4 linked regions of the Caenorhabditis elegans genome follow. The gene in region 3 interacts genetically with the main gene of each other region. Each region holds a gene or a part of one and is shown on either strand. Other genes may lie near its edges. The genes, in order: eor-1, lin-25, mys-1 and ksr-1.

Region 1 (8,035 bases), on a different chromosome or scaffold from region 3:
GAAGAAAAATAAAACAATGTTTCAGTTAAAAATGTCATCTATAATTTCATAAATTTATTTATAACCATAAAAACCATTTAGGACTAATTAGGCATTAAACAAGGAGATCATACACATATCAAAATGAAGGCATTAAGAACAATTTGAAACATGTTACAAGAAAAGGCAAAGATAGTAAAGGGGTTTTTTCAAAAGTGAGGTTTTAGGCAGTTTCAGGACTATATTTATTATTGTACATTCCACGGATTCCATGCATTATTGGAATTATCTTGATTATTCGGGGTTCCAGTCGGTGGAAGCCCGGCTGCTTGTAGTTGTTGTTGAAGTTGCTGGAGTTGAGCCGCCTGAGCCAAATCCATTTGTCCGTAGGTTGGAAGTGAGAATGGACGGAGTTGCTGTTGTTGCTGCTGTTGTTGTGGATCAGAGTTTGTGGAGAGATTGTTGAATTGCGGTTGGACAGCACTCCGGTTATGTGGAGATCTGGAAAATAATGTTTAGAATTAATGCGGCACTGCTTTTTGCAAAATTTACAGGTAACAAACCTCATCACCAAGTTAGGTGTCATCAAAACTCCATGTGTATTGTCTGATCCTTCAGGTCCACCACCACCACCACCTCCTTGACCACCTCCAACAGAATCTCCCGGTGAATCCTGTCGCTGCATCTGATGATGATTGTCCCGTAATGGAACATTCATCATAGACATACAGCCAGGTGATTGGGCATGATGTTGATGTTGAGATGGATGAACGACTGAGAAGGCACGCTGAGGAGATGAAGGGTTGCCGTAAGTTGATGGTCCACCGTAATCGTTGGGATTCGGAGAGTACGTCTGGAAATTGATAAATGAGAAATTTCTAGATTCTAAGTTTGTATAACCCCAAACGGCCGATTTTTCAAAAATCCCAAAAACCATCAATTTTTCCTTGTCGAAGCAGCTGAAATATAGTTTCTATTAAACTATAACCCGTTATTGCATATTTTCGGTACTAGATCTTGCTGAAATTCGCCGATTTAGGCACTTTTAAAGTCGATAGGCATCCAAAAATCATCAATATTGGCATAATATGACCAAAATTGGATGCTTATTGACTTTAATAGTGCCTAAATCGGCGAATTTAAGCAAGATCTAGTACCGAAAATATATGCAATAACGGGTTATAGTTTGAAAGAAACTATATTTCAGCTGCTTCGACAAGGAAAAATTGGCGAAATTTCAGAAATTCTGTCGCTTGGCTCTTCGTTAATTCAATAAACCTACCGAAAAGTCATTAGTAGCCTGCCAATTGCTAACAGCATCATCAGAAGTAATTGGACGGAACAGAGCATCCGGATTATTCACAATATTGCTCGCGGCAGCCAACATTCTCTGTCTCTTATACTTTCTTCGTTGAGTCTTTTGGAATGTGAGCACTTCCGAATTGTGATGCTTGATGATGTGCTCCTAAAAATTATGAAAATTATCAAAAATTATCATCTAAAATGCTCAAAAACCTTAAGCTTATCACGCCGACTAGATGCATATTCACACTGATCACACTTGAACGGCTTCTCCTCCAAATGAATCCTCTCGTGACGGACCAGATGTGATTTTTCGATGAATCCACGGCCACAGATCTTGCAGAGATGGGCGCGAACCGCCATGTGGGTACGGAGATGGGCCGCCAGTTGGCTTTTTTTGGTCGACGAGTAGTCGCAACCGGCTGAAAATTAACAGTAATGTTTTCAGGATCTTTAAATATGTCATTTTATAGTGTAGTTTTCAGGATCTTTAAATATGTCATTTTATAGGAAAAATAACAAAAAATTGCTCAGATCAACTCCATAGCTGTTTAAACAATACTCCATGTTTAAAAACTCGAAAAAATTACGCACAGCGTGAAGCGAGCTGGGAAAGGCCCTGCATTGGAGAAGAAGAAGCTCTGAGAAAAGTTCTCTGCAAAAGCGCAAAAACTAATGAAACACGTCGAAATGATTTTATGTCGAGCGCGACGATAAAACCATTACCAAATACCTACAGTACCCCAGTGTGTGTTCGGCAGAAAAAAAAAGTGAAAGTGATATGATCCACAGATGATCTAACCACTGTTTCTATCTTCAGCCGCCGTTTTCTTTCGTTTTTTCGACCATTTTTTGTGCGGAAAAGGCGGCGCTGTGTCGCCAAGGAGAAACGAAAATTAATGGAATAGTACGGGTGATAAGGAGACGCAGCGAGGGGGGTTTTTGGTTGGAAAAAAGTAGAAGTGAACTGCGCAAAAGTCATCCAAATGATGGATCGGTTGGCAGGTGATAACGGAACTATTCTGGCATTCAGTGTATTCCAATGCGTGGTGTTACAGGAAATACAAACTGACCAATGTGACAGCTAAAATTGTCTCCAGTATGTTGACGACGATGAAGGGAAAGATGATCGGCGGTTTTGGTGGCGAAACCGCAATCCTCACAGATATAAGGCCTGAAATTTGGAAGAATTTGATGGAAATTGTGAAAATTCTGAATTTGAATAAAAGTCGCCTTGTTTGGTTTTGAGACAATTATTATTATTGCCTCCAAACGTTACTAGCAAAATTGGAATTGCCTCAAAATCAGATCTTGCATGGTTTTTTATTTCAAATTCGCACATTATTAACTTTCAGATCTCGAAATTTCATAGTAAAAACTTACCTAGGATCATTATGACTAGCAACATGATGATCCAATGTACTATGCTGTTGGAATCCTCTTCCACACTCTTCACAGTGTAATGATCGATCATCGAGTACAGAATGCATTCGTTCGTGAGCAAACAGTTGAGAACGAGTTCGACCTTTCCATGCACATTCACCGCATTTGAAGAAACGCTCGTCGGCTGAAAATTTGACAATTTTAGAGGGTTTTTTTGTTTCTTTTAGAAAGTAATTTTGGAAAACAATTTTATTCAGCCGTTTTTTTTCGGTTTTAATGTGTTTCCTTCGGCAAAGTCAACGTGTGTCTGATGGTAAATTTAAAAAAAAAACAGAAAATTGAAAGCTTAGCTATTCATTCGATTTTTTGGAGATTAATTAAAAATTTAAATTGATATTGTTGGTAAATTCTGAAAATATGAAAAAAACATTATCGATCAATTTTTTTACAAAAATTAATTTTCATAATTTGGTTTTTTAAATGAAAATAGGTTTATATTTCAAGAAACATTGTGAATTTCAGAAAAAGAAACGATTTATCTGAAAATACATTTAATTTTTTTGTAGTTTCAAAAAAAAAGAGTTTTTTTTTCAAAATTAAAAAATGTACGTTTTTTTCCAAAATTTTTGTAAAAACTCACTATGCTGAAGCCTATGGGTCAAAAACTCTTGTATCTCATTTGAAGTGAACGGACACGTTTCACATCGATACGGTATCTCTGTCCAGTGCTCAGCACAATGAAGATAGAATTGTTTGCTCCAATTGGTTTCAAATTCACATAAATGACACATATAATACGTATTGCGATTGTGATGACGAGCTTTGTGCTTTTCGAGAAGCTGAAAATATGAGGAAATTGTTGAAGAATCGATCGAAATATTTTACAACACTTTTCTGGTTTTTTTTTTTTTTTGGTTTTTTGGAACATAAAACTCATAAAACCAGCAGAAGATCGTTCGTACACGAGTTTGTTTTTACATTTTCCCAAAATATGGAACTTTACATCAAAATATTTTTAAAAAAATAAATTATGCATGAAAGTTTCCAAATTGTGCTGTAATTCTTTAAAAAAATATTTTTAAAGATATATATTATATAGACACAAAAATTTGCAATTTTCGAGCCTGGTCTCGACACGACAAATTTTCGTTAGAACCGAAAACAATTATGCGCCTTTAAAGATTACTGTACGGTGTTTTTGTTGATTTTTCATAGTTTTTTTTTCTAAAATTTAAGCTTTTTAAAAACTATTTAAATTTCGGAATATTTGGTTGATAAATAAATATATTTTATCGAAAAACTAAAAATAATCGATAAAAACTCCTCAGATTGAAAATACAGTAATCTTTAAAGGCGTAAATTTTCTTGATGTAGCCAAAAATCGTCGTGTCGAGTTTTGTATATTAAATAAACGCCAAAATATGAAATTTTCGCCAAAATCTGGTCAGGTCTCACCACACCGACAACAGGTTACTGTAGCCCATTGTTCGGTGTGTCGAGACCTTTTTGACGTCTAAAAATAGAATAAATCATATTGACGGTTTAAATTTGAGAAAAATAATATTTTTTTCGCATTTTTTCAAGGTTTTAATTGATTTATTTTTTGTCAATACCTCCTCATTTGCAGTCCGCAGTCCACAGAAAATACAAGTGGACGGTCCATTCTCATCAGGTTGATCTTCTTCATCTTCACAATCATCTGGATCCAAATTGTCAACTGGTCCATAGGTATGACATCCTTCCAATGAACATGTAGCATATACACCATCAATTTCGTCTTCGTCGATCCATGGAATACCTGGAAATTTTATTGATAAGGAATTTGACAGAAGATTTCTTCAATTTTTGATTTTACAATTTCACAAAATCCCTTTTTTTTTGAGAAAAAAAACCAGCTCACTTTCATTTTCCGTCGCATTAATCGGTGGAATTGGGTGCAAATGATGTTTTTTCATTCCTTTTGGTCGTTTTAATCTAAAATTTTCCATTGAATTTTATCAATTTTTTCATATAATCACTAACCGCTTCTTCTCATTTCCCGGCTGGAATGCAATCTTCATTTTCAGTCGATTATTAACATCATTTCCGTATTCAACAACTTGTGCAGATGTTGGATGTCCATCAGCTATATAATCATCTGGATCCTCTTCAGAATCACTTGAATCATAAATATCATCTTCAAATTGAGATGGATCGTGGAGAATCGGAAGATCAACGATTTTCTGACGAAGACTGCTCAGTTGAGTCGAGTACTTTTCCATAAGCATGTTATTTGTTTCCCTACAAAAATTATTTCATCAGTAATAATTTTGTAAACTTTAACAACTCCACTTACATGACATGTAGTAGCAAAAATCGACTTTTCTGACTTTTCGATAGCAACGGCGAGTAATCCAGAAGAAATTCCAGTGTGTCAGCTGAAACTTCTCGAAATTCGCAGGATTCTAGTAGTAATCGGAAGATTTCCTCTCGCTTCGATACTTCTTCACCGACCCAGCGGACTATTAATCTGAAAAAATTACTGTTTTAGTCATTTTGGAACGAAAAAACTCACTTTAAATAAGTGTCAGAAGTAATACAATCCACGTATTTCGGATCTCCAATGAGTCTTGTCAGTTGTGTATACGTGTAACCAATTATATCTCTGGATTCCAGTAAACATCGATTAAGATTGCTGTCAAAGTAGTCTGTAGCAGACTGAAAAAAGAAATTCGAAGTTTCTCGCTTTTAAAGCTTTAAAAATTCAAATTCTTACTTTCACAAGTCCTGGTAGATTATATCTCTGAGCTAACGTTCGTATTGATAAGCAATTGGCCGCGTCTAGATATCGATCCAAATAAGCTGCACAATACACTTTTAGCTTCACTATCTGAAAAAAACGGAATTATAGCAGGAATAGTCGATCGAAAAATCAATAATATTACCAGAAAATTATTTGCAAATCTCAATAGCTCCGAAACACTTGATCGATCGATAATCACTGTTCCACTGTACATATAATTGAGGAATAACTCGAAAACTTGTGGAGATTTGCTATTTATTGTGAGCTGTTCCTTTGTGATTTTGCAATATTTGAAAATTGCGTCAAAATATGGACTGTGAGCTGCTAAAATGTTTCGATGAGCCGCAAATGATTTGTTTTGAACAACAATTTCCACATCACAAAATCGGCCGGTTTTTCGTTGATATTGTAATCGTTGGAACACTGAAAAATAAAAGTTAATTTAATTATCAAGCCAAGATTGAATTAAATACAAAACTCTTACACATATGACTGGTTTGCCCAGAACTATCATCAAATGTCATTGGACAGAGCCCTGTGTTTTCGGAACTAGCTACTAATGTCATCTGAAATTAAATTGAAATAATTTTCATTGCGATTTTATAATTTATTCGATGGGAAACTCACATTTTATCGAGGAAGACGTCAATAAACTTAGAATAAATGCTCCGATTCAAATCGGGTGAGGAGTGTGCAGACGCGCTCTACTGAACAATCTAAAAGATTATCGATTTGCAAATATTATTTCAATGGATTTTTAACGATAGTTATATATTTAACGAAATTCAAATTTTATTCGAGATTTCAAAAAAAGAAAATATATATCTGAGCATAACGACACATAAAAAATTTAAAACTGAGCGAAATTCCAATTTGTAACATATTTTAACAACGAATTAAAGCTGATGTAGACATTGTTCTAATCGGCGTTTTTTTAATGAATTAACAATATAAGTTAGTAATAATTCAAGAAAGAAAAAATAAATAATTAATCATCAGGAACCGGCGTTTCAATTCTAGAACCATTCTCGTATTCTCCATATGGTGTTCTATAAAATTGAATGACTTTCACAACGAAATCATTCACTTGTTCGTCTTCTTCTTCGTATTCTCCAAAACACGGAACGCCATTATTGTGAATTGTAGACTCAAAATCTTTGTACTTTGTATCGCTTTTATTCTCCAGAACAATCAACATCGGAGTAACAATTTCAGACGCATGTGAGACCGGCTCCACGTCTTTCAGAAATTCAGCTTCAGGGTTTTCTGTATCAACTGCACACGTTGTGAATGGAAATTCGAGCATCGGCCGTACGAGTGCACATCCTTTATAGAATTTCTGAAAATAGTGAATTAAAAAATATGAAAATCCATGAGACGCTAAATTTTGTGATTTTCGTGCCAAAAATAGAAAAATATCGGGGTAACGACACGACATTTTTTGAAAGTTAAAGGTGGAGTACCGAAATCAGAGACTTTGTTTTTTTTTAACTATAATGTCGCAAAACTGACGGATCTATCAATAAAACTTTCAAAATATTTCTGAAGAAAACATGTCGTGTCGAAACCGGGTATTGTATTTTTCACCAAAAATCGCAGAATCTCGCGTCGATGTAATATCCCACCTTATGTTTGATAATCAGACTACACGCCACAAAAGATCCAAATTCAAATCCATACAAGTAAATATATTTTTCATCTAACCGCGCTCCGTGTCTCTCGAGAACTTCTAGTACAGTTTCCTGTAAAAAAAATCATAAAATGAGGAAAAAAACGAACGATTCTCTACATGAACATCATTAATACATTCCGAACCACAATTCTTTGGAAAGCAGGTTCCTGGAATTGCTATAAATGGCTCCCGATAGTTTACAACTAGCACACAGAAGCCACAAGTTACCATTGTAGAGAGCACAGGGTCAACGGTACTGAAAATTTAAATTTAATTTTAAATTTATAAATCAATTCTTTATAAACAGGGAAAATTGCTATTTGAACATTTTTAAATTAAAAAAATAAAGATAGAAAATTGCGGTTGAAATTGAAAGCTCGATCCGTGAATTTTGCAATTCTTTCGATGCTTTTTTTGTTGATTTTTCAATAAATTTTGAGTCTAAAGAAAAAAAATCTACCTAACGGTGAAATTAGGTTCTAATCCGGAAAAGGGGACCACGACCAGCGGGAACTTCGATCCGGGAGAAACACATTCCGGCAACATGTAGAGTATCGCAGAATTGCCAATTTTTTGAAAACTCATTGGATAAATGTGAAAATTGTGAATCGTATCGTTTTCTGGCTTGTGTGTGCATAACAGCGATGCCGTGAATTTACCATCACTTTGTGAGCCCAATTGAGAATGCCAAAGACGAGAATAAGCGTTTGCTGTGATCGTTTCAAAAAGGAATTCATCGCCTCGAACATCAATAATTAGTGAAGGCCGTTTCAAGTCAAGGCACGTGGTTCTTAAACTTTCAACGTGAATCGCCAAATTATTCTGGAAATAAATTTATTTTAATGCAGAATTAAATCGAATATATTTGTTACCACTTGATTCTTGTAATTCGTGTTAAACAATAAATGCTTTCCATT
Region 2 (4,812 bases), 5.6 Mb from region 3:
ATCTGTAAATAATTGTTTCCTTCCAAAAACCACAACAAACTGAACAAAGTGTTACTTGAAAGTCAAATGTTTTATATTTGCTTCATATTGTGCAATTCCCAAGGTTGGGACTCTGGTTTTCAATATATCTTCTCCGGTTGGCAAGTATTCTTTTCCAATAACTCTTGCAAGGTTTTCAATGAAACTGGAAATAATAATAATTAGACTGAATAAAACCCAACGTTTAACTTGCTGAATTGTTGAGTCTTCAATATTATAAACAGTTTTATTCCTCAACATCATGGCAACTGTTTCATCTTTTATGTACATCTGGATAGACTTTATAATGTCTTTGCACAAAACATTTTCAGTCTCTCCAGTTTTATTGAACTGTTTCGTAAATATTCGGATTTGATTTAGGCATTCCTATAATGGAAATTAGTTTTGAAACATTTACCGTATTTCCTCTATTAGTTTTGCACCCCTTTGCTCAACTTTCACAGCTCATATCTCAGTAGTCGTTTGTTTTATAAAAAAGTTGTCAACTGATAAAATTTTTGCAAGATGTTTTCTAACGTTTGTAGTTTGTTAATTATTTATATGCTTAAAACAAAACGAGATATGAGTTGTCAAAGTTGAGCAAAGGGGTGCAAAACTAATAGAGGAAATACGGTAATTACTTACAATTGAAGATGGATTTTCGTAAATTAATTGTCTCCACATAATTGCCCAGTGTATCTCATCAATACCTTCCAAGATATTTATATAAATTCCATGTTTTAGAGCTCTTTTTTCTTCAACACTGTATCCTCCACAATGAAGAATTCTCAAAATTTCAATATTACAAACTACCGATAATATATTATCTAATTATTTTGAAAATCAGCTGAGTAGGTGATAATTTTTGGAAGCAACTGAAAAAATGTAGTTTTCATTGAATTTACCTTACTTGCTTGACTATTGTACTTTTTCCTGACTCTCCCGGACCTAAATATAATAAAGGTTACATTTTGATTATGTTTTTTTTTTTAATCAGGTACCTATGATAAGAAGCTTTAAAGCCTTCTTCTTACGTTCCTCGAGTATTTGTGTTTCGATTTTCAAGTTTTCATCTATCTTCAAAAATATATTTTCACTCAAAGTTTTACTTAACCTCCACCTGTTTCTTAAGTTGCTCTCTGCCGAGAACATGATTTTTGGCCGATGAAGAAAATGATGCACCCAGCTTTGAAAGGCTGAAAGTTTTGCCTAGTTTTTTTTTACAATAGTGGCTTTGGGTCTGATAAAAACACTAGTGAAAATTACGAATGAAATAATTTGAGACATGCTCAAGATATTGAAAGTTGTTATTTCCAAGTTTATATATAAACTTAAACTATAGTTTGAGTGCAAAGCACATTTTAGAAAATGTAATGTTTCCATGGTAACTTATAAACAAGTAATTAAAACAAGCTTAAAGTTTTTTTTTGAAAATGAAAAGTGAATGAAGCTGAATTAAATCGTCTTAAGAGATTGTTGGGGTGGCAGTTTGATTATTACATCTGAAAATTGTGTAGAATCATTGAAAATAAATGCCGTCCACGCCCAATTTTTCATTGACTCTGAGAAGTGAAGGAAGACATCCCTCCTATGTCAGAAAATGTACAATGGAAGAGGAATGCATCGTACCTAGTCCCCCAAGTAGTGGGGGACAATAAACACTCGGCCACCTCGCTCTATTGCGTGTCTACGTCTCACATCCATTTATACTATTGCACCGAATATTGGGTTAATGTCGGTGTTTGAATATATTTTGGTTACAGTTTAAATGCTTCAAATTTAAATCAATTAAATCATGAATAGTATCAAAATTGATAGTTCAACAAAAGTGAGTTTTTTTTTAAATAAATTTTTATTTTAATTTCAACAAACTTATTTTGTATTTAATTTTTTTTTAGATAGTTATTGAATATATTGACAAACTCCGCAATTGCTCAAATGAAAAACGACAAAAAGTATCATCAGTCATTCGTCCAGTTGACTTTCCCGGTATCTCAACTCAGCAGCTTTGTGGTTTGTTGCAATTCTTTTTTGTAATTGTATTAATATATTTTATTCAGATATTTTGATTCGGTTTGCTTATAATGGAACATATATCGATGATGTTTTCCGGGACCATCTTCTCAAACTTGTCGTAGATAAGGTACTCTGTAGTTCTTTGTTTTATTCCAAAAAATTATAAATTTACAGTCAATCACCTGGAATCAAGTCATCCACAGTGTGATAAATACAAAAACAGATAGAATTTATTCGAAATGTTTGCAATGCGAATTGATCCGGGAAATGGTCAACTATGTACAGTGAGTTGGCATTTTTAATTGAAAAATTTTGCCAAGTTTATTAATTTCAGAATCAAGTCATTTTCTGATAAATTGCATGCAGATGAGCTTATTTCGATTATGAAGCCGACTGTTTTCTTCCTCGCGCAACTGATACAAGTAAGATTTTTAGTATTTTTAACGAGCGATAAATGTTGTTTAAAGTTAAAAGCTTACATGTTGAAGGTTACCAAAATATATGTTCAAAATTGGCAAATGCTCTTTTACTACCTCATCTTTTACTACGTTGCTCTTTTACTACGGTTTACTCTTTTACTACGGCCGTATTTTTTACTACATTTTCCAATTTCGATTTTTTACTACGAAATGTATCTTTTACTACGGCCGTTTTTTTTACTACGGTTTCCGAATTTGATTTTTTACTACGATTCGTATCTTTTACTACGATTAACGATTTTTTACTACCTAATGAAAAAAAGAATATCAAAAGTTGGAATTTGAAAGTTACCTTGTAGCAGATTTTAGGTATAATTACAATTTCACTCTGAAATCAACATGAAAGTTTCATAGCTGTGTTCTTTTTCCAACTTTTGAAATATACTACTGTCTGAGCGGTTTTTAACTGAATCCGACGATATCAGAACGGGAAAATGAAATTTATGAAAATTTTCCAAACAAAACTATTTTGAAACCTTATTAGGCACTGATCAGTTATTGTAGAAAAATTCTCAATCTGTCGTTTTTGAAAACATTCCTGTCAACTTTGTGATTTGGCATAATAATAAGAAACTCGACAAGTAGGGCTCTATATACCCACATATCTTTTCGGACAGAGGGAATGCGAAAAATTAATCAATCGCAAACTTGTTAAGCTTAAGATAAGGAACACTTTTCCCGTGCAAACTATTTGAAAAAAAATCTGAATGGATCCAGATTCGAACCAGCAATGACTCTACTGAAGAGCGCGCGCTTTACCACTTCTCCAAACAGGCGAGTGGCGGCCGCGGTTCCAAGGAATATGTGAAACCAACCGAGCTGTACGAAGTAAGAAGCTTCCATTACTTTTTCAGATATTTAGTTCTGAAAACTTTGTCAACTCTCCTTATCAACAACTAAATGGTCCTTTTTGTAGTTATTTCTACTGGCAAAAAAGAGTGTGCCTGTAAATAATATCCTGCGTATAAACGTTGTTGTCCAGTGAAAACCTTCCCTTGACTTGAAATTTCTAGAAAATTGTACATGCATGTTGATACGAGATACAGAAATGAAACATTTGAAATTAAATTTTGGGCCTAAAATGTTTTTTCTCAAAAACCACTACAGTTCTTATTTTTCCAAGAGTGTATATAAAAAGTTTATTTTTTAAAATAATTTTTCGTATCAAAATCCCATTTTCCGGCTTCAAACGTAACGTTTTCGTCGTTTTCGTTATTGGCAAATCGAATTCGATCGAAATTGAAAAAATTCCGGAGTACGGTACATGTCGGTGTTTGCGTACTTTTGCGTACCGTGCATTTTATTCGACGACACTTCATATTTTTAAAAAGCAAAATTGACAAAAAAGTGCGTTTGAAACCCAAAAACAGGACATTCCATGCGAAAAATAATTTCGAAAAAATTCAGATTGCATTTATTACTGGAAAAAAACAAGATTGGGGCCGTTTTTCAGAAACAAATTTTGGGCCAATTTTTTTTTGAAAATAGCTTATTCGATGAATCACAGAAGTTCCCGAGCTGCTATTAAGTGGAATTTGTAGAATGTTTAAAAATACACTCAAAAAAAGTAGTTTTCAAGATAAATTTCAAGTCAAGCGAAGGTTTTCACTGGACAACAACGTTTATACGCAGGATATTATTTACAGGCACACTCTTTTTTTCCAGTAGAAATAACTACAAAAAGGACCATTTAGTTGTTGATAAGGAGAGTTGACAAAGTTTTCAGAACTAAATATCTGAAAAAGTAATGGAAGCTTCTTACTTCGTACAGCTCGGTTGGTTTCACATATTCCTTGGAACCGCGGCCGCCACTTGCCTGTTTGGAGAAGTGGTAAAGCGCGCGCTCTTCAGTAGAGTCATTGCTGGTTCGAATCTGGATCCATTCAGATTTTTTTTCAAATAGTTTGCACGGGAAAAGTGTTCCTTATCTTAAGCTTAACAAGTTTGCGATTGATTAATTTTTCGCATTCCCTCTGTCCGAAAAGATATGTGGGTATATAGAGCCCTACTTGTCGAGTTTCTTATTATTATGCCAAATCACAAAGTTGACAGGAATGTTTTCAAAAACGACAGATTGAGAATTTTTCTACAATAACTGATTAGTGCCTAATAAGGTTTCAAAATAGTTTTGTTTGGAAAATTTTCATAAATTTCATTTTCCCGTTCTGATATCGTCGGATTCAGTTAAAAACCGCTCAGACAGTAGTATATTTCAAAAGTTGGAAAAAGAACACAGCTATGAAACTTTCATGTTGATTTCAGAGTGAAATTGTAATTATACCTAAAATCTGCTACAAGG
Region 3 (5,303 bases):
GCTCCGCCTCCTAACGTTAGGTCTCGGTAGGAGGCGGCGAGACTGTAAATTCAAACTTTTTCACTATTTTTTCGATTGTTTTTTGTTGTTTTACATATTTTTTATGTCGAAATGATGTTTAAAATACTTGTCGTTTCGAAATTATAATATAGTCAGAAATAACCGAAAAAATAACAAATTCCTAACGGGACCCAACGTTTAGGGGCGGAGCACTTTTCGTTTTACATTGGAGCGCGCTTTCGCTTAGATTTCAAAAAACTCTATAATATACAATTTTGGATTTTTTTATTCAGATTGTTAAAAATTCGAGTCCTGAAATTAATTTTTTGAATATCTTTCAGGTTGTCACTGGCTGCAAGCATGTCTACGCCTCAACTCGTTCCCGCCGTGATCTGATCGCTCAGGCGGTTGCCGAATATCTTCAGAACGCTTAATGATTAGAAAACTTCACTTTTGCAGTTATAAACTTACTTGTCTATATGATGAATTTTAATTATTTGAACTGCAACAAGAAGATTATGAAATTCAAGAATAATTTCATTAAAAAAATAAGTGACTAATAAGTCAAATTATTACACAGAACAAATGAAATGAAATGAGGCGTACGCTCTCTGAGCGGTGTGGGAATGATAAAGGGATAGCGTAAGCTTTTCGGTGTGTAGATGCGAGATAAAACGGAGTGTTATATTTTAATGTACAGGTTGAGATCGTCGTGGCGAGAACACATGTCGTTGTTGCTAGAACATGATCTGCGCCTGAAAAAAAAGTTCATAAAATAATTTAAAGATATATTCCCGGAGACTTTTTGCTTTTGTGCCGGTTTTTCGATTTTTGGATATTTCGAAAAAAATTGCGAGAGTTCAAAAATTATTTAAAATCTGCCACTATTCTTTTTTTTAGAAGAATAGTATGTTTTGTGAAAATATTTCTATTTTTTTTCGATTAAAAAATCGAAAAAGACAATTTTTTAGTTTTTCGGAAAATCGAAAAACCGACATCCTTGTTACTGTTTAAATACCTTATTAAAACTAAAATAATTAAAATAAATTTTTCTTTTAAAACTTAAAAACATTGATTTCTATTTTTTTTTCTCATCAACATATACAAAATTTGATTTAAAAAAACGGTTTTTTAAAAATAAATTTCTGAAAAGTTTTTTTTTTAATTTTTCAGTTTTCCGGACGTTCCAGATTTTTCAAAATTACAATTTGGTTAAAATTAGGTTTATTTTTTTTCGTTTTTTCGAAAAAAAATTCGCAAAAACTGAAAGATTTGAGTTATAAATTTTTGATAAATTTAGTAAAAAGAAAAATGATTTTATTAGAAAATTTCAATTTTTTGACACTGTAAACCAGTATTTCCATTTTTTTCCTTAGTATTTAGTATTTCCAGTGTTTAGGTGTTTTTTTTTGAAAAAGAGCAAAAAACTGGAAAAAAATTGTAGGGTCAAATTTGCTCAAAAAAGTGCAATTTCTGTTGTTTGTATGAAATAGGGCGTAAACCGTTTTTTTTTAAATTTTTTTTTTGGTTCTGCCAAAAACGAAATTGTTTTTTTTTGGTTTTTTGAAAAAAAAATGTTATCACGAATTTAATTTAATTTTAATTTTCAGTTTTTAGCCGTAAACACGAATTTTTGATTGAAAAAAACTCACTCTTTTCTTTCCGTACTCTTTGGGTCGCCATTGCAGAGCTGCTGGATTAATTCGTGTCTTCTTTTTCGCAGCCTCAATCCGTTTCTCATAAACTTGACGCTTTTCATCACTAATCACAATTATGTATGATCCCTTATAGTATTTGTATAGATCAAGTTGCTGTAACGTTGACACAACATCTTCTCGTTTAATCGATGTACTTTGTGAAATGTCCTGAACTGTGATATCTTCGCCTGGATGTCGTCTTTTGAATGCGAAAAGCTCTTTCATGATGGCCATTGACCAGTACGATCGATATGAGAGAAGTCCCAAATCTGATAGTGGTTTTTCGGGTGATCCTGTCTTCTGTTCAATTTTCGAGAGTTCATAGCTGAATTCGATGAGCAAACTTCCGTATCCTTTCTTTTGAAATGGAGGTAACACAAGAATACACGCAACATTATATTCTTCAGCTGATTCTTTTTCTTTTGAAAAGTATCCAACTATATGATGACCCTTCTCGTCTTCTTCGGTTAGCACATAGAACAAAAATGGATCCGTGTCATAGTAAAGAGTCTTGTGATCCAGAAAAAGTTTGGCAAGCAGGCATAGATTCTGAGCATAGCTTTTGTTTTTGCGGCCGTCGATTTCAAAAAATGAAAGTTTATCGTGACTGTAGATTTGATTGCCAGGTGGGTGACACATTGCACATTTTTCCTGAAATAAAATTAATTAGAATTGGGCATTTTAATTAAATGATAGAAAATGAAGAGTATGGACCGAATGTAATTGTTTAAAAAATTAAAAATTTGTCTATTTTTTACGTTTTTTTTCCATTTTGCAAAATAGAAAAAGTAGCTGATTTTAATTTGAATTCCCACGCAGAATAATGGCCTATTTGCGAAACTTTTTTGATTACGATAAATTTGGTTTGAAACACCGTTTGTGAATTTTTTTTTCGTTTTCGCAAAAAAGTATTTCAAAAATGCAATTTTTGGAGCAAATTCCCAGAATTTGCGATTTTTTTCGATGCCGGAAAATTTTAAAAACATTGTTTCAAAACTAATATCAACGGAAAAAGCAAGAAAAACCGAAAAATTCAGCCAAAAACACACAAGAACTCGAATTTTTTCGAATTCACCGATTCTTTCATTTTTGGAAAATTGAAAATTTTTGAATTTTGAAAACAGTTATTTATATTCGGTCATTTTCTATAACTCGAAACACTCACCATGTGCCGTTTCAGACAAGTTTTCGACTTTAGATATTTCAGACAAAATTCGCAAATATAAATACAATCCAAACTTGTCAATTGTTGTGGATAAGGTGCAAAGTACCATGGCTGAATTCGTGATCTTCCTAGTTCAATGCATTCGACATTTCGGATCCTTGTCATTGCATCTTCACTATGGCCGACCATCGACATGGAACCTCGAAGACTTGGAGTAGATCCGCTGGTCATCGTTGAAATTGCTTGTAATGGATCTACGGATTCCGCCTTGAGATCATCCATCGGAAGTAGTGGAATCTTTCGTTTTCGGCCGCTTTTCTTTCCTTCATTTTCATTCGAATCTCGACTGAAATAATTATGAATTGATAAAACTATTTAAAATCTTTTGAAAAGTTTATAGATTTCTCACTTTTCTTCCCGCAAGTGTGCTCCTTTCTTTCCTCCTTTTTTTGGTAGCTCACACGACGCTAAATTGAGCCTATCAGACTGAACCCATTCGTCAAGTCTTCGGTTGCAATCGATATAATGGACATAGAATTTAATTGAACCATTTGCAGCTCGGCATCTTGAAATAACTTCGGCCCATCCTGAAAATAATTGGAAAATGTGTTTAAATAGATGTAAAAACTAACTTTCTTCTTCTTGTGAAGCCATCATGACCAATAACCGGCATCCCTCTGTAACTTTCTCGTATTGCCTGGGATCTGTTGGTATTTTCTTGGATATTCCATGATTTTCGTCCTCTATAATCTCCTTCTTCGGCTCGGTCATGATAAATATCTGGAAATAGTACAATTTTGTGTGAAAAATTCAATATTCAATAATATAGCAATCAAATGTGAACGATAGTACTTTCTTGCGTGCATAATCCATGAACAACATCTAAAAATCGATCCAAAAATGAACAAACTAGTTTTTTAATTTTAAAATAATATTATCCGTTGTTAGTTTTACTATTTTATCAATAAAAAACTTTAAAAATGCAAGAAATAATTGTGAAATCATGCTCGAAAAAAATAAAACGCGCCGGCTGGCCTAGAAACCAACCTCGGCCGCACTGCGCCGGCCACAGGGAAAAAGGGCGGCAATTCAAAAAAGAATAACAAGGGTGGTTGAAAATTGACCGCGGCATAACGTTTCAAGGCAATTATTTTGCGAAATGATCTTGAATTAAATTATTCGAATTGAAAAATAGTTATTTATAATGTACGATTGTACTTTCAAAAAAAAAACGATCACAAGAAAATTAGGAAAACGCAAATTTTTGAAGATGCTTAAAAAATGAACTGAATTCAGTGGTAAAATTTCAGATATCTAGATGTCCATTGCACTGTTGAGCCACGAACAAAAAAATTTAAATCAATGCTGCGCGAAAAGGTGTGCGCCTTTAAATGGTACAGTAGCCGAGTTATTGTTCACGAGATTTTCTCTGAAAAACATAATTTTGTTGAAAACCGAAATTGAAAAGCATGAAAAATGAAAATAAAACAGCAAAATTTTAGCTTAAAAAATCTAGGAAAAATCAAAAATCGAAGAAAGTTGCGAAATAAGAGAGAATGGATTACTGTACTTTTTCATCAAATTCCAAGTTTCCAACTTCAATTTTTCCTACATACTTTCGAGTCATGTGTTGCAAGAATGTATCGGTCTTGACCCTGCAAGCTTTAGATTCAAATGAATTCCTTCAATTTCAAAATTCAAATGTTACATTCAAATGTTGAATCCGGCATCATCGGAGCAACTACGAAGCACACAAAAAATCCGAAAACAAAAAATCAAATATCAAAAAGCGACAAGTGACAGGATGAGATGAAGAGACGAAGAGTTGAAAATCATTGAACTGATTGAACGCGTCACATCAAAACACCTGTTCGAACAAGATTGATAAGAGAGCCTCTTCCTCGTTTATTTTTCCTCTTTTTCTTATTATTCTTCCTTCTTCTTCTTCCCATTTTCCGATCATTATGATTATCATAACACTCGTGAAAGAATACGACCTTCTTTGTAATCTATATATCTTTTTCGTCATTTCTTTTCTCTTTCGATCACAGAAAGTAATTGATCGTCGTTTCAGGTTTACCGCCGTCTCCGTTTACTTCTACTATTTTCCATTTTCAATTAGAGAAGACGGTTTGACCCATACTCTATCATGTCACTATATTTTATACTAATTGTTACTATAATAATCCCACAATTTGAATTTATTCATTCACCTTTATCTGAAAAGGATATTGTTACATTCCGCTTCAATTTGGTAAATCGTCTTGATCAGTGCACATTATGGAGATCAAAACTAGATAAAAAAGTTTCAAATACGTTAGATCATTTTTTAATGAACTCAAAGTTTGATGAATTTCGAGAAGCATCTACACAATTAGCTGCAGATATATACCCGGAAAGTATTGACTGCCTTGACTCTTGCTCTTATGATATTGAACAAT
Region 4 (4,797 bases), on a different chromosome or scaffold from region 3:
ATGTGTATCATTACACTACATTTTAAAAATTTTAATTTGAATAAAAGAATAAGGTTGATTTTTTAATTCTCAGGCTGCTTAAAGTATTAATTCTAAAATTAACAAATAAACCGAAAACGACGTTTGAAGGCGGACTCCGATCTGCGGGGGAAGTTTTTCAAAACCATTCCTATGGTACAAAAATAATCAAATATACCATAATAAAATTATTCCAAAAACTTTGGAAAGTTTTTTTTATTTAAAATCAAAAAGCTCAATACTAAATGGTCACCAGTTTTTGCGGAAGTCCTCCATCATAAAATTTTCCATTTTTTATTTCAATTACATTCAAAATATTCAAATTTTAAAATGTATGGGGTTTGAACATTTGACAGTGATTTAAATTTTCAAGAAGTGGAGCAAACTCAGTATAAAATATGCTTCAAAATTGTTTTAATAAAAACCGTCTTGTTTTTTTTTAATTTTGCAGTTACCATCTCGGGATTGATTAAAGTTAAATTTTAAAGTTTGATTAAAAAATGTCAAATTACTGGTTTTGAGACTATAAATTTTTATGAAAATAACTAGAAAAGTAAGGAATTTTGAGAACATTTTCAAAAAATAACAGTTGCAAAATTTTCGTGGCAAGAATTATTTTCTTCTACATTTTACTTAATACAAATTTTCAAATTGCCGCACACTTACCGTTCCAGTGATTTTGTAAAATCACTGTAGATTGAAGCAACTTTCGTTTGGTCTCCACATCAAGACGACCACGATCCGCAAGCGATCGCAACTGAAATAAACTTTTATGTTTGGGTTCAAATGTTCAGAAGGCGGAGCACAGAGAAACTCGGTTAAAAGTAATGAAACGAGCAATAGAAGTTTGATAACATGCAGACAAGAGTGAAAACAACTCGTAGAAATGTAACAGGTGTTGTTGGAACACGAATGACGTTACCGAGTATACGGAGGCAATGCAAAAAAACAAAAACGTGTATGCTTTGGATCGCTAAAAACAATGAATGTTCCAGAAATGCTTCAGCATAGTTGTTCTCACAAAAAACATTCATTCAAAATCAACTCTAATATTTTGGCCAATTATCATATGAAAGGCCACTTGAAGTTTTCAAGTTTTGTTTCGAATTCAAATTTAACAATTGATTTGTTCAATGTTGTTGTAAATTAAATGGTAAAGTTATCTTAAAAAATTTGACAAATCAAGTTTTAAAAAAATCTTCAATGAAAAAAAGGAAATTTTTAAATCTGAAAAATTACCAAACTAGTTGATTTGTCAGATAAAAGTAAGACAAATTTCATTTCGAAAAACACTTCCTGCTGCAAAATGACTAAATGAAAAGTCGAAACTCAAATTCAAACAATTACGAAATGAGATGATAAAAATCAGTCAGATACATGACTTATGCATGTGCTAGCTGAGAGAAAGTTCGTGAGTCTTAAAAAACAACAATGAGCAGAATATCAATAGGTAACAATTAACCTAATCCTCTTTTTCTGTTTACTCTTCTTTTTTTGGATAACAAATTAGCTCACAAAAATCAGGAAAAAAACGGAGAGAGCTGCAGTTTTCTGGCCTCTAGAGAAAGAGAAGAGTGGGAAAGGAAAGGAGAGAAATGCAGAAAGTAGAAGGTGAAAAGAAAGAAAGAAGAGACGGAAACAGAAACGGAAAAACGAGAGGGAAAGAGCGTCAAAGCGCACTCCCAAACACCCCAAACCAATGGGAAGCGTAGAGGGAAATGAAAAGAAGTTTAAGAATAAAACGATAATGTTGAAGGTTGTGACCCGAATCAGCAGAAAGACATTTAGAAGGATATAGATATGCCTAGAACCCGATTTGTGAGTGTTTGTATGTTTCTGTTAGGTGTAAAATCAGGAAATGATGTGTGAGAAAAGAGAGAAAAGGTAGAGCAAAAAAGAGAAGGATCAAACCTCTTGGTTAGTGATGCTGAACAGAGCATTGAAATCGGTGATCGAGCAAATCTCCAAGTGCCGAATGTTTTGTGCGCTGAGCCCGACAAATGTGAACCAAATGGCGTTGATCTCACGCTTCTCGCGATCAATCAAACCAATTTTTGTCATTTGATAAACGGCCGAGAATATTTTGCGCTGTAAATTGAGAATCATTGGAATTTAGTTGACGTCAATGAAAGATTTCAGACCATTTGTTTCAGGTTGTTTCACCTTTTCATCTGTCTCTGATATCTTGATTACTAAAATTCGTAGAAAAAAAGAGTTACATTCACTTAAAGTTTTTAAATCTATTTTTTAAAAGCTTTGATATTTTGATATTTTTTCATATTCAAAATATCATAAACTCACTAAATTTAAAACATTTGAAAATCAACATTTGTTTGAAAGTAAGTTTCAGTTTTTCAAATATAACGATTAGCGTTTCATGCACGAAGTTGTGCATCTAAATTTTTAATTTTTTAAATTTATTATCAAAATACCATTATAGAATTTAATTATACAAATAAACTTTACAGTATAAACGGAAAACGTCTAGAAAAACGTTTAGTACCACAGATTGGTTTACCACAAAGATCTAAAACAATTTGGACTGAGGTGTCAATATATGTATAGTGTATTTTATGAACAAAACTTTAAAGCATCTTAAAAATTTTTTCTGCTGAATGAAGACTAGTCTGTCTTGAATTCATTTATTTACAGTTTATAAAACAACGATGCTCACGAATAGGAGAAGTTTGAATTTTTACAAAAGTTGTTTTTTTTTCAAAAAAACTTACTTCTACACTTTTTGCATCTTCTTCGTATGATGAAGTCAAAAATCGATTGATAGTGGTAAGTTTCAAACATTCTGCAACTTCGAATTGTTTTTTTTTAAATTTTTTTTACTAACCCTTCAAATTATTTATAGCCTGTGTCTTTATATCCTGTGCGATTCCTGCACCAAACTGCGGTAGATTACTGTATCCCGCACGTGATGCAACTTGGGTTTGCATCATTCTGTGTATTGATATTATTGGTTAGTTTTTACCTTCTCCGGATCTTTTCCCTGAAATAAATCTTTCGTTGGTTGAGCACAACGTTCAAAAGGTTGCCAAGAAAAAACAGTGCTGGTTTTTGGTCAACTTTTGGAAATCCCCGGTGCAAACGGAGCACGCTGTGAGCTCACACGTGCGCCACACTCTTTTTTGCTTGGTTTCTCATTTTGTGTATGTGTGTGTGTCGTCGCAATTATCAAATGGCTCCCTGTGAGCTCATCCTTCGTTTATGTATGTGTGGTAGTGGGAGCAGGGCAATACGAATGTATTTGGTGCTTTAGAAAGGCGTTAAATGACTAGAAAAGCAAACGAGCAAGTAATATTGAAAAGTGCCGAGTTTTTTCTGTTAGTATGGTTTGCATTCGTACTGTAAGGGAGCAAGACAATTAGAGAAAATATGTGTATGCCCCACAGTACAGTCAGAAATTTCAATTCATGAGTTAGTAAAATCTACAATATTTTCTTCCTACAAATTCCATCACAATTGGATGTTTACAATTCAAAGTCAAATTGCGATGACCAATATAAGTATGCTTACAGTTTGTTTACTATTACAACATCATCTACTCAAAAAAGGTGTGTATTAACCTTCTAGAAAAGTCGAAATCGTCCGGAAAGTAAATTAAAAGCTTTCGGCGGCTTTCTGCCATCGAAATTGTGAAGGTTGCGTGGCGAACAATTATGAGACAGGTTATGTACATTACTCAATTTAGAAGTGACGAGAAGAAAAGAAGAATTGGTATTTTCGACCACATTTTCTTTTCCGGTGGTTAGATTAGACTTATTACATCACAATGTCCCGATTTTTTTCAATGGCATTCTACTTTTATTTTGGCTTCTTTTGTTTCTTTAATTAGAATACTGTTCCAAATCCAATAATTGTACTCTACCAATATTAAATGTGTTTTTTTATTGAGTAGAAATATTCAACTATTTCACTTAAAAAATCGATTATCCTTTATCATCACTCCTAAGTAATTATAGTTTATCAATTTGAGTTTTACATTTTCCTAGCTTTGCGTATTAAAACTACCACAAATACAAAAATTAGGAAGCTTAACTTTTCTTTCTTTTTTAATTTTTCGCTTTCACATGAAATACCGAACAACAGTATGGCGCTTAAAAATTAAGCAATGCCGACCGAAAAGAGTAGTTGTGAGAAAAAATTGCCATAAGGCTTTGGTCGGAAGTTAAAAGAAACGTTGCATTCAAATACTGTTCAATATATTGGAGAAAATAATGCTAGAATGCTGAGAGTTGTGGAAAGAGAAAGAGGAAGAAAGATCGGCGTGCAAGCAAACAAACTGTTTGAACGTGATGAAGAGAAAAGGGGAGAACGGTGTGGATTGACAGTAGGAATAGTAGGAAAGGACGCAAAAATGTCGGGAAGACGGGAGGATGGGGGGAATAGTGTATGAATAAGAGAGAGAGGAGACTGTATGTCTATGGGGTGAGAGAAAATGGTCCGCAATGAGAAGACCACAACAGGTGTTCAAAATGTTGCGTAATCAACTTAAGAGTAGGTCAAGATTCATACCAGGAATGCATTGAACAAGCTTTTAGTTCCTGGTTTGCTGGCAGATCACAACTAATTTAGTGTAACATCTCGGCAAAGTCAACATTAAAAATGTTGTTCCTGCTCGATGAAAATTTTGAAAGTAATTATGGGTAGTTTGTTGAACGTGCCAAAAACTATGGTAAAGTTAGCCAAAAATTAGGGTAAAATATAAGTACTGAAGTAATAGCAATTACGTTTTAAAAGACGACTAATGGACCAAAATGTTTAGACTGT

What was found.
Region 1: of mys-1 (region 3) and eor-1, changing one enhances a phenotype caused by changing the other (phenotypic enhancement), as found in Caenorhabditis elegans (one large-scale study listed by BioGRID).
Region 2: of mys-1 (region 3) and lin-25, changing one enhances a phenotype caused by changing the other (phenotypic enhancement), as found in Caenorhabditis elegans (one large-scale study listed by BioGRID).
Region 4: of mys-1 (region 3) and ksr-1, changing one enhances a phenotype caused by changing the other (phenotypic enhancement), as found in Caenorhabditis elegans (one large-scale study listed by BioGRID).

What each region holds. Positions count from the first base shown.
Region 1 is NC_003282.8:4,793,165-4,801,199, forward strand, and holds eor-1 (Zinc finger protein), read right to left. Parts: upstream 6,024-8,035; 5' UTR 6,013-6,023; coding exon 5,931-6,012; intron 5,870-5,930; coding exon 5,589-5,869; intron 5,534-5,588; coding exon 5,420-5,533; intron 5,362-5,419; coding exon 5,219-5,361; intron 5,174-5,218; coding exon 5,000-5,173; intron 4,945-4,999; coding exon 4,687-4,944; intron 4,639-4,686; coding exon 4,565-4,638; intron 4,463-4,564; coding exon 4,278-4,462; intron 3,504-4,277; coding exon 3,305-3,503; intron 3,249-3,304; exon of another isoform or gene 3,100-3,248; intron 2,849-3,099; coding exon 2,665-2,848; intron 2,456-2,664; coding exon 2,355-2,455; intron 1,704-2,354; coding exon 1,495-1,703; intron 1,445-1,494; coding exon 1,262-1,444; intron 833-1,261; coding exon 543-832; intron 481-542; coding exon 228-480; 3' UTR 30-227; downstream 1-29. Other genes in the region: dpf-7 (Dipeptidyl Peptidase Four (IV) family), read right to left, coding at 6,435-6,785, 7,072-7,188, 7,236-7,374, 7,579-7,940, 7,991-8,035.
Region 2 is NC_003283.11:12,648,144-12,652,955, forward strand, and holds the start of lin-25 (Protein lin-25), read left to right. Parts: upstream 1-1,781; 5' UTR 1,782-1,813; coding exon 1,814-1,846; intron 1,847-1,916; coding exon 1,917-2,031; intron 2,032-2,078; coding exon 2,079-2,161; intron 2,162-2,208; coding exon 2,209-2,318; intron 2,319-2,368; coding exon 2,369-2,456; intron 2,457-4,812. UniProt on the Caenorhabditis elegans protein: Participates in the inductive signaling pathway downstream of let-60 Ras and the RAF/MAP kinase cascade to regulate specification and differentiation of many cell types. Positively regulates the fate of vulval precursor cells.
Region 3 is NC_003283.11:7,081,021-7,086,323, forward strand, and holds mys-1 (Histone acetyltransferase Tip60 homolog), read right to left. Parts: upstream 3,643-5,303; 5' UTR 3,634-3,642; coding exon 3,495-3,633; intron 3,450-3,494; coding exon 3,272-3,449; intron 3,209-3,271; coding exon 2,863-3,208; intron 2,349-2,862; coding exon 1,653-2,348; intron 756-1,652; coding exon 738-755; 3' UTR 525-737; downstream 1-524. Other genes in the region: npa-1 (Polyprotein allergen nematode domain-containing protein), read left to right, coding at 342-434; VC5.2 (Laminin EGF-like domain-containing protein), read left to right, coding at 5,012-5,303. UniProt on the Caenorhabditis elegans protein: Probable catalytic subunit of the Tip60 chromatin-remodeling complex. Plays a role in acetylation of nucleosomal histone H4 and perhaps also H2A, probably acting as a component of the Tip60 histone acetyltransferase complex.
Region 4 is NC_003284.9:8,273,388-8,278,184, reverse strand, and holds the start of ksr-1 (Kinase suppressor of Ras A), read right to left. Parts: upstream 3,017-4,797; 5' UTR 2,967-3,016; coding exon 2,861-2,966; intron 2,819-2,860; coding exon 2,748-2,818; intron 2,107-2,747; coding exon 1,930-2,106; intron 776-1,929; coding exon 685-775; intron 1-684. UniProt on the Caenorhabditis elegans protein: Serine/threonine-protein kinase which positively regulates Ras-mediated signaling probably acting at the level of let-60/ras or/and lin-45/raf. Involved in sex myoblast migration.